Linked DNA regions of Caenorhabditis elegans. The protein of the gene in region 1 interacts with the protein of each later gene in a pairwise test. Each region holds a gene or a part of one and is shown on either strand. Other genes may lie near its edges.

Region 1 (7,872 bases):
ATTTAATTAGAAAATATGATACTGGTGAAGCAATATATAATCTGGTTCAATCGGTGGAAACACTCGAAGTTGGAGAGTCCGCATGATCCAGACAGGATGAGCAACGGTACTCGTGCATGTCATTAATTTCTGAAAAAAAATTGTTAAATTAGCAAATACGCAAAATTGAACAAATATGGTAGCCGGTCTCGACACGGCAATTTTTTTTACTTGCAAAAAAGTTGTGTGCCTTTAAAGAGTAAATAAAAACGCGGAAGTTTTTAAAATTTTTTAAAGTTTTACGACAATGAAATCCCACAGAAACGAGAGTTGGTAACTACAGTATACTTTTTGAAGGCGCACACCCGTTTGTGTTTCACAAAAATTGTCGTGTCGAGACCGGGTACCGTATTTTTGGCACAAAGTTTTTTTTTGAGATCAGGTCTGTCACAAAACAAAGGTTCGTTTTTTTTTCTCCTTACAATTAAATTTTTTTTCCAAAAAACCACAAAACCCGATCTTAATTTACCTCTCAGAGTGAATCCAAGACAAATCACATGGAACCAGTTTTTGCAGCCTGCTTCACACATCACCCAGTTCACTGAGTCTCCATATGGCTTCAAACAGGCGCGAGCTTGACACGACTTGAATTCAGACTCGTCTTCGTAATATTCACTGGGTGATGCTTGACTTTGACGTTTGCGTGATTTTTTCGACGTCTCTTTGTGTGAAACACTTGGCCTTTTGCGTTTAGCTGTGATTTTTGGATCGAAGAGTGATACCGATGGTTTTGAACGAACCGGGCGATTTTTGAGTTCTAGTGCGGCGCTGAAAAAATTAAAAATAAAATTAATACATATAATGTGTACAAACCTTGACTGTTTTTGAAGATATTCCATATAAAATTCTGAAATCAGCTCGCGTGCCTTCGGAAGACCATTGGGATTCAGAATTTCACACGATAGCCAATCGAATAAGGCAATTTTACAAATATCGTCGCTGGATTCTCCTGATTTCCGTTTATTAGCAGCTTCCATCAAATTTTGAGTGATTCCACGAGTTTTTTGTATTAGATTTCGAACAAGATGTGTTTCCAAACATCCAGAAGGTGTTCCATTCAGAGCAGTTGTTACATCATCAATGACTGGACGTTGTCCCCGTAGACATCGAACACATAAAAAGCATCCTTCTGGAAGTTTTTCAAGGAACGGTGACCACTCGCAACATCGAACATGAAACTCTGAATCGCACATTATGCATGTCAGTGTTGATTCGGAATCATCTGATTTGTTGAATCCAAGACATGAGCATGCTTCAAGACCACGAGCTGAATTTGCTTGTTTCACCTTTTCAAAAATTCTCATTTGCATTTCACGTAGCGATGATTGATGATGCACAATTTGATCTAATGACTCGAATTCTTTCATTTGATGCCATTCATCAGATGGATGTACTGCGCCTCCTTGAAAATATAATGGTATCGTTTGTCCTTCAGCAAGTGGAGTTAAATCATCGCGTTCGGAGAGAATCTGGAAAATTCAAGTTTAAGGCAAATTAGATCGAAGCTAATGTCTATGCTACTTCCTGATTGGATTAATGTTACCCAAATATACGGTCACCGGTCTCGACACGAAATTTTTTCGTTTAATTTAAAAAGGTGCGCGCCTTTAAAGATACTGTAATTTCAAATTTTTGGTTCTGCGAAATTTTCCTTGATTTTTCTTTTTTTTTCTTAGTATTTGTCTCATGTTTTTAATTATTTCAACATAGTTTTTTATTAAATAAATAAATTTATAACGAAAACTATGAAAAATCTATGAAAATTCCGCAGTAACGAAATTATGAAGCTACAGTAATCTTTAAAGGCGCACATTCGTTTGTATTTAACTAAAATTGTCGTGTCGAGACCGGGTACCGTATTTTTTGCGAAAAATCGTCAAATTTCACGAATCTCACTCACTTCAAAAAGATTGTGATACGCATTATTTGGCTTGAACAGAATAGCTATCCTCTGAGTAAATGCATTCATTGTGCTGATCATATCCAAAATCCCGAGATGCTCTTCGGAACCGTTTAGACATTTTGAAGTTTCGAATGCTTTACTGATTTCGGCCGCCTTCGATAGTGTAATTTCAACATTGACAATTTTCTGCAGTTGTGTTTTTAAATCAAATTCTGATAGCACGGGAATTGCGGCATCTATCATTGACTTGATTTTGGCAACATGAATGATCTCATAGCGAACCATGTTAATATCTTAAAAATTATTTTGTAAGAATTACTAATGCATTAAATAACAAACATTTTTCATAGAACCAATCAGTTTCTCTAAGGCTTTGCCAAATTGATTGAAGCTGATCAAGTGCTGGATTCTCACAGAAATTGTTTGCAATGACCTCGAGTGTATTGGCGTCACGGAGCATTTGTTGAAGTTCAAAGACGAGTTTAGAAGTACCATCTGTGGGATTTCGTGGACTATCACGAATCAATCTGAAACATATAATTGAATTTTTGAATTAAAGGGGTATAGAGTATTTGGAAATATTTTTAAGGTCTCATCATGAAATTCGGTCGTTTTGGGCCGAGCCCATTCGAGGAAAAATCCACAAACACAAATTTCCTTTTAAGAGAAAAAATATTTTTAAAATCTTACGATAAAATATCACTGGATGCATATCGAAGCTTATACTCAAAATCAATATCTTTCTCCATATCGGGAGTTGCCTTCCATGTAGTAACTTTTCTTGCTCTATCCGACCAATCCTTCATTTGAATAACTTTTCGCAACTCATCGATTTCTTCCAATTTAATATCATATTCATCTCCCTCTTCAATAATCTTCTCGATTTCTTCTTTTGAGTATTCTTGTTCTCGATAGATAGCATCTTTTGCTCTGTTTCTCCACATTTCAACTTGTTCCATCCATTTCTCAAGTTTATCAATAATAACAGTCAAATTGCAATCCATGGCTTGCATTTGTTCAATCAATGACCGTACTCCCTCGGTGTCTGTACGAGTGTCGGCTCTCTGACATCGGGTTTTTGTTCGCGTTCGTACTTTCTTAAAGAGCAATTGATTTGCTTTTTCAATGGCACTCTTGGCTGTATGACGAATTGTTATCAATTTATGAACTTGATCTGTCTGTGGATACTTGTTTTGTTTGGCAGAATCTATAAACTCTTCAATTCTCTCGAGTTTTGGTTTTCCTTCTTCTTCAAGCATCTCATCCGACTCTTCTTTCCATCCATTGTAGTTAACCGTACGCTTTCCAAGTTCATCACACATATTGTTCAATTGATCCAACTCGAATCTGTACTGATATCTGTAGTCTTTCGTTGTACACGAATTGCAAAGATGATCATGATGTTCAACACAAGTCATTTTCTTGTGTTTGTTACAAACCAATGCACACATGAAGAGAGTCGTCTTACAAAAACGACACGATCTTTGTTCATCTGGAATCTTTTCGAACATCACTTGCTGCATTTGGCGATTGGAAACTCCGAGGCGAGCGAGAAGTTCTCTCAACATTTTTTGTTTTTCATATATTCTTATCAGTTCTTCATGTGTTGCTAAACTCATCGAAATTCCAAGTTTATCCATTGCTTCAACCATTTTAAAGAGAAGCTCATCATGAGAAAATACAAGATATCTTCGTACATTTGAGTAAGACTCAACGCATTCTCGACCTTTTGATAGCCAATCAATTGGAGCGAAATTGACAGCTTCCGCAAAGTTGAGTCCCTCATTGAAACCAGCATGATAAGCACGTGGGAATGTAATGACGAATTCACCAGCATTCTGGTGAACTGAATGAATTGGAACTCCCAATGAACGAAGAAGATGAGGATTTGCAGCTGTAGTCATATGATGGAATAGATCTCTTTGTCTTCCAGTTAATCCAGGTGCTATTTTCTTCAATGCATCTTCAAACTTTTCAGCATCTTCTCCACCAACACCGTACCAAATTTTCCGTTCTCCAAAATGATTATAGTTAACAGAATACGTCCAATGATCTTCGGTGTGCCAGCAGAACGTCGAGAAGCACATACCAACATAGACCCACGGTACCATCATTCCAGAAATTCCAGTATTAAAATGTGAGAGAACAGATTCTCGAAGTACAGGCATATTGTTCAGATTCCATGCATGTGAAGCGTATTGCTGCTTCAGCTTCAGATCTGGGCCAGTGTGCTTATCTTCTTTTCGAGGAAATCCACTTCCTACTCGACTCGTAATCAAGTCGGCACCGTATTTGACAGAAACTGGATTTTCGTGTGAAATTACATTCTTCCAGAATGATCGTTCCACAGCATCACACGACACTTGTGATACATCTTTTACACCGAAATAATCACATTTCCATTTGTTGGCAAATTCAGTGAATGAGTTCAGATTGTATTCTGTGTCCGCATCATAAAATCCCCAGTCTAATCCGATTTTTGCATCCTCTGATTCAATGCACTTTGGACATCTCCACTCGCCTTCTGGTACTTCATCGAGTACTGGATCACAACAATATGTATGACGACCATTATTGCATCCATCAATATCGCAAAGAAGTAGTAGATCTTCATCCTTTCCTTCATTACAAGCAACGCAGAATACTTGATCCATTGGATCTTCATCATCATCATCGTCTCCTTCGGCTTTCTTCTTATTTTCTGTAATTTGTGAAAATAAATTTAAAAAATTTAAATTTAAAAAACGAACTTCTTCCTCTGGTTGAATTCTTCTTTGAAGATGTTCCAAGAGTCTTTCTTGAAGATGAAGCCTTCTTATTTTTAGATCTCCGTCGACCACTTTGCATCGACACTGGACACTCATCTTCCCCTCCTTCAGTAGTTTTATCATTTGGAACTTCTATTTCTGTCCGCATAGTTCCGTGGTGATGTTGATATCTATGAAATTCATTCGTTTTTAATTAGAATAATGGGGGAAATTATTAATAACAAAATTAAAAATTTTACTATTTATCGGTTTTAACATTTTTTCATGGTTCTAAAAAACAAAAACATGGGTACATAAGAAAAATTTAAAATGCATATAATTTCAAAAAAATCCATCTACATTATGTTTTCTTAACTGATTTGTAGATTTTTATTTATTTAAATTTCTTAATTACTCACTTATGCTTTAATTCTTCCATTTCATCATCACTTTCATCATCATTTTTCATCGCTTTTTCTTTCAAATTTCGATTAAATGGTTCAATGTGCAAATTATAATGTGATCGAATCAAATTTATGAAAGCCGACGGAACACCGCGAGCCATTTGCTCCTTTGGAAGGTATTCGCGGGCAACGTCTCTCCATTTTTCATCTTCATTCACTTCTTCACATCCTCCAAAGTTTTGAACTATACGATGTAATCGATACAAATCGACAATATTTCCATCTCGATCCACTGGAAACTCAAAAGTTAGACCAGAATATCGATTGAAATTGATTAATCGGTCAATAAATGTGTGTTTCTCTTTGACAATTGCCTCCACTTCATTCAGTTTTTGAGTTCGGGGACGAAATGTAAAGGCTTCTTTGTCGATAGCAAACGGTGGTTTGAAATTCTGCAAAAAAAGAGAGTTGATGCTTCTCGATTCGTTTTTTGAGGGAAAAATCAAAAATTTTCAGATAAAATTGCACTTTTCAAGTGGTGACCATTCTTTTAGTAAACTGAAAATTTTCTAATATTTAGTATTTAATTGAAGGGAGTAGTAGAAGTTTTTAAACTACTACAAACATTGTTTCGCTTTTTTTCAGACTTTTCAAAAACGATTAAAAACTTGTTAAACGTCAGACGTACAATTTTCCGAATAAATAACTTACCGCCGGCGGAACAATTTTAACAACTCCAAATTTTTCGGCCTCGTGTCGTATTTTGGCAACATACTCGATTGGATCTGAGAACTCTTCTTCTGTCGGGTAGTAAATTGGAGCCATTGGAGGTCGTACGAATTTCTGAAAACTATGAAAGCTTATTCACCTTATGTATGTCTTAGTAATCAAACCTTATAGAATTGATCGTACATTTCCATTTTGCTTCCATGATTCTTAGATCTTGAATTTCCGATGGATGCTTTCTTCCGCGGAGAAGTGCTCGTCGACGGTGCTGACGGCGTCGAGATACTGTTCTCTTGACGACGTGCACGCATTTTTCAGTTTGGCTTATAGCTTCATGAGATCTGTAAATTTCATTTTTGTTTGACTTTAATATTAATTGAAATTAAAAGCTTTGAGAAGAAGAACATTTTAAGTACCGACGAGAAATTTCCATGTGATGAAACAAGATGCATCACGAGTGTTATGATAGACGTCATAGAAACCCGGAAATGAAAATTAGCTTATACTCCTTTAAAATTGGCTTTTAAGCTTTTTCTTATTAAGCTTTTGATTTGAACTTAATATTGTATAAATAATTAAGCTGAAAAATGACTCATATTTAAATATATATATTTCTCCAATTTTTGAGGTCGAGCAGCTTTTCAAAGTTTAGACAAGGATCTTTGGTAGAGTTTTAAATGTAGGTCAAGACACGTAAGGCATCGTATAGTAACTCAAATCATTGAAAACTCCATCTCTCTGAATCTTTTTGATGTGTCACCTAAAATGCATTGAGAGACTGGTATTCTTTGACCACTTTGCAGTAGGTCGGTGTCCTTTTCGTCAGAAATTGCGTGCGGTAAAGATAAGCGGAGAAACAGAAAAAAATATAGATAAAATCGAAAAACCGAGAGGAAATAGCCCCCAGCGCCCACCAGGGTCGGCCCACGAAAATCGAGGAAAGTGCGCTCCGCCGAACATTACTCTCGAGTGTCCACTCTCGTCGTCTTGTCACTCCTCTGTTTGCATGCTATTCGCTAGCAATAATCTCTCGGTCTCCTGCCCAATCACACTTTATTCATGTTATGTGCGCGACGCGTTCTCGCATGTGCCTCCTAGTAATACGTGAATTTTTGCACTAACTTTTTTTTGAGGCCAGCAGCTGAGGAAAGATGGGCGCACACAAAGAAAACGAAGAGAAAGCAGGAAGACGCATGTAAAATGAACACAGACTGAGAGAAAAAGAGAACATGGAATTATGGCTCCGAGAGCCAGCATTTTTAATTGAAGATTTGAGACTGTGTTTGTTTACTACGGTTTTAAAGGGAGGCGTATCAATGCGGAATGGTCTCGCCACGCACTGCGAACTCATGAAAAAATTGGCGTGTGCGCCTTTAAGATGACTGTAGAGATTTTTCTGGCATGTCTAATTACATAAAATACAGAAAATTGGGAAAAGAACAATCGAAAATGAAGAAAAGGGAGAAACGAGAAAATTGGAGATTTGCCAGCAAACCCTCTACAGTAATCTTAAAGGCGCACATACCAGATTTCTGAAAAAAAAATCGCAGAGCGTGGCGAGACCATTCCGCATAAACTCGCCACTTTAAAATCATAGAAGTTGTAAAAAGTACACAGTAATATGTAGAAACTGATTTCGCCGAATTGTGAATCTCCATAGTTTCTAAGGAATGTGAATATTATTTTTCAAAACTAAATCAAACTCATTAAAAAGTTATTATGCGCCCGTTTTGAAATAAACGATGGTTGCGCGCGAGAGAATGAGAAGACATAGATTATAACTGCAAAAGCAGAATCAGCTGTCTGCGTGTGAAGAAGCTGATTAAAAACGAAAGGGCGAAAAAGACTTGTTTCACACGACTACACACATTCTTACGACAAATAGACGAAACGGAGGGAGAATCAGAAGTTTATGACCGAACGCTGAAGACGTGTAATCACAGACGTGGTTAGAAAGTGAGGCTGAACGCGGAACTTAAAGCGAAAATGTGTAACATATTGAACAGTGCACGATTTTCAGATGTTCAGAGCATTCGTTTGACAGTTAACAATT
Region 2 (3,675 bases), on another chromosome or scaffold:
CTTCTTCGCACACCGGGCAGACACTATCAACAACAATTGGAGCAGCCTCATAGTCATCTGCTGACAAGTTTCTGTAGATCTGAAAAATATTTAGGAAATTGTGCCGTAAATTCTAGCAAAAACACTTACATCTTGAGAATCCGCAGCCATTTTACTTTAAAAAATGAATTTGTTGATTAAAATCGAAAATTATCTGCTTTAAAGTATTAATTTTAGAGAGAAATCTGGAAAAAACTGGAAAAATCTGGAAAAGAAAAACAAAAAAAATTCAAGTCTGCAAAGTTGCGTGACGGTGTTTGCGGACAAACGCCTGCGCCTCTTCATTTCGCGTTGTGCCTCGCGGTTTTTAATTATAAAATTTTTTAATAATTAGAATTCAGTACACATTCTTGTAAAGCCTTCCTATCTTGTGTCACTGAAGCTTTTTCGCAAAAAAAGCGCTTCCAAAGTAGCAGAAGAAACTGAGAAAAATGAATAAAACATTAAATGTCTGCGCTAAAATCTGTATTTTATTTTTATTTCAAAAAACGAATAAAAATCTTGTGATGAAGTTTTATTGACGGAAAATCGAATGAATATTTCATTTTTATCAAATTCCAACAGTATCTTGTTGCTCGTAGTCGTAGTTTCGGGATTCCAGAGACAGAAGTGCTGGATTGCCGGGCTTTTGAGCATTTGTAACCGATTTTTCTTGTGGCGGCGCTTCTTTTTCAGTTTCTGTGTGTTTTGAGATCATTTCATGGCGAAGACAGCATGGAAGATGCACTTTCACAGCTTTAAACTTGATTTTTTGAAGTTTTTCAATCATTTTCAGCCCATTTTCAAGTCGTTCTTTCGAAATTCCGAGTTGCTCGGTGGTTTTTGCATTTTCCAGACATTCGATCAACTGATTTTCCTTTGCAAAATCCGTCTGTTTGATGAGCTAAAAATTAATTAAATAAAATATAAAACGCAATACTAAATTTCACCTGAAAACTGCCAGGTTTGCCACCATGAAAATGTTCCAGGTGGTGCTTTCCTTCATCTTCGGTGTGAAAATTCAAGTTCCGGCATCCAGAGCATCGAAACGGGCGGTATATTATATGAGTCTGGAGCATGTGGAACTCGTATGCCGCCCATGTTGACCAGGCCACGGAGCAGGTTTCGCAGACAGGCCTTGGAGCATTTTCGGGAATCGATTCCCCGTAGGAGTCTGGATTGAATTCGGGAACTGATGAAGTTGGGAGTTTTCCTGAAGGTTAAAAAAAATTAATTTCACAAATAATATTTATAAATAATCACGTTTTAATGCAGAAGCTGGCTGAACAACTCGGATGGTGCACTGGCGTTGAGGGGAGCTCTGAAAAAAGAAATCTATAAAAAATGGCAGTATTTCTCAGCTTATTTGCAACTCACGAGAGTGACTAGATAATCGTCATGGTCTTGGGCTCCTGATGTAGATGGCTCTGTCATTTCAACCTGAATTTTCTGTTTTTAATCTTTTTAAAGCATTATAAAGCTTTAAAAAAATTTAAAAAAAAAAGAGAAAATTCAATGATAAAACAGTGTGCAAAAATGAGAGACGGAGAGTATTTGGCGTCGGTTTCAGTGTTTGGTACGCAAACACCGACCCATTGCGTACTCTTCGAATTAAATTTTTTTTGCGAATTTTTAGATTTTTCAACGTTTTTGCGGTTAAAAACCTCTTTTCCTCATTGAAAACTTTTCAATTTTCAACTAAATGTTTTCCTTTTTCAGATGTCAGGCGAGGATGACTACAATTCAGACGATGAGGCTAACAAGAACCTATCTAAAAAGGAGCTTCAGGAGTTGAAGAGAAAACAGCAGAAAAGCAAAAAGAAGAAGGAATCGAAGAAGAGAGCAAAAGCCACGAAGCAAGCTGAAATAGAAACACGAGAGGAGCCGAAAAAAGAGGAGGAAAATGGTGACGATCTTGACGTGGAAATCGATTATATCGGTGAAACAATTGAAATTGAGCCGGATAACCCGCACGCTCAATACTTTTCCGCAATTTTTGATGCTTTTAAGGTAACATATCACTATTTGTTAATGTTTTTCCAATATATCGGCTTCCAGATCTCCACCGACTCAGAAGACGGCTTCTCCTACGGCCATCACGTTTCCAAAGGCGAGAAAAAGGATGATTTGGGAAAAGTCGGTCAGGCCGAGCGAATTATTCAAGAGGAGATGGAAGAACGTGCCAAAGAAAACACAGAGGAGAAGCTTTCGCGTAGAAAACTCCGAATTTCTCTTCAACCGAGTATTGCAAAGCTTAAAGAGACGACACTTCGAGCCGATGTTGTTGAATGGGCCGATGTGACTTCTCGTGATCCGTATCTCCTTGTCGCAATGAAATCTTATAGAAATTCAGTTCCAGTTCCACGCCATTGGAATGCAAAGCGTAAATATCTCGCCGGAAAGCGAGGATTCGAACGGCCACCATTTGAGTTGCCAGATTTTATTAAAAGAACCGGAATTCAGGATATGAGAGAAGCGCTGCTGGAAAAAGAAGAAAGCCAGAGCCTTAAATCAAAAATGAGAGAGCGGGCCCGCCCGAAGCTTGGAAAAATCGATATTGATTATCAAAAACTTCACGACGCGTTCTTCAAATGGCAAACCAAGCCGGCTATGACAAAAATGGGCGAGCTCTACTATGAAGGAAAAGAGATGGAGGCGATGATGAGAGACAAGAAGCCGGGTGAAATGTCGGATGAGCTTAGAATTGCACTGGGAATGCCCATCGGATCGAATGCGTTCAAGTTTCCACCGCCATGGTTGATTGCGATGCAACGTTACGGACCACCGCCCAGTTTTCCGCATATTAAGATTCCTGGATTGAATGCGCCGATTCCTGGTACGGTAAAATGTTCTGGATGTACTATTTTAGAGCAGAAATCTAAAAAACATTATGAAAAATTTTACATTTCAACATAAAATTACCAAAAACCTAGAAAATTGCCTGCTAAATTTCATTTTCAACGTAAAATTAACAAATCTGTGAATTTTTGCACCTGTACCGACCACAAGAACTGAGATCGTGGCGAGACCCGCTTTAAGCGCCAAATTTTTGCAAAATGATAAATAATTTTCTTTTGATAAAAAATTTTCTTCGCATAATTTAACACACAAATATTCATAAATTCTGCCAAAAAAAATTATTATGAAATTTTCAGATATTTTTTTCGCAAAAACATGTTATCCTGAAAGAAATTAAGACAAACTTGACAATTTTATGTTCAGTAAATACATTTTACGAAAAAAAAATGTCTGAAAATTCAGAAAAAATTTGGTTTTGGTTGAAAAAATTATGAAATCAAATTTAGAAAAATAAAAAATAACTTCTTTCACGATTTTCAAGCAAAAAATACGATACTGGGTCTCGACACGACAAATTAATGTTTAATGCGAGGTGCTATATTTTGATCAATTTTTCCAAATTTATCAATTAAAAACTCAAAAAAAAAACAAGTTTTGGTAAATTTTGGGAGATGCCACATTGAAAAGTTGGTTAAATTTTCAATTTTAACGGATTGTAGGTCATTTTTTGAGCCACCATAACTTTTTTTGAGGTTTTAAAAAAGTGTGCTTATGAAATTCGGTAGTTTAAACGATTTCGAGTCTAATAAAGCAATAAAAAATTTCGACTACAACTTTAAAGCCGTAAAAATGGAAAAA

The links. The genes of interacting proteins can lie anywhere in the genome.
Region 2: the proteins of rbr-2 (region 1) and W03F9.2 interact in a two-hybrid assay, tested with the Caenorhabditis elegans proteins (one large-scale study listed by BioGRID).

Annotation. Positions count from the first base shown.
Region 1 is NC_003282.8:10,918,365-10,926,236, reverse strand, and holds the start of rbr-2 (Lysine-specific demethylase rbr-2), read right to left. Parts: upstream 6,168-7,872; 5' UTR 6,131-6,167; coding exon 5,987-6,130; intron 5,944-5,986; coding exon of another isoform or gene 5,937-5,943; coding exon 5,805-5,936; intron 5,546-5,804; coding exon 5,109-5,545; intron 4,881-5,108; coding exon 4,693-4,880; intron 4,644-4,692; coding exon 2,633-4,643; intron 2,470-2,632; coding exon 2,282-2,469; intron 2,236-2,281; coding exon 1,940-2,235; intron 1,509-1,939; coding exon 853-1,508; intron 808-852; coding exon 509-807; intron 130-508; coding exon 47-129; 3' UTR 1-46. UniProt on the Caenorhabditis elegans protein: Histone demethylase that specifically demethylates 'Lys-4' of histone H3, thereby playing a central role in histone code. Does not demethylate histone H3 'Lys-9', H3 'Lys-27', H3 'Lys-36', H3 'Lys-79' or H4 'Lys-20'.
Region 2 is NC_003283.11:126,500-130,174, forward strand, and holds W03F9.2 (C2H2-type domain-containing protein), read right to left. Parts: upstream 1,536-3,675; 5' UTR 1,453-1,535; coding exon 1,396-1,452; intron 1,354-1,395; exon of another isoform or gene 1,340-1,353; coding exon 1,282-1,339; intron 1,232-1,281; coding exon 969-1,231; intron 923-968; coding exon 590-922; 3' UTR 501-589; downstream 1-500. Other genes in the region: W03F9.1 (Zinc finger protein ZPR1 homolog), read right to left, coding at 1-79, 130-150; sftb-2 (PSP proline-rich domain-containing protein), read left to right, coding at 1,738-2,028, 2,077-2,854.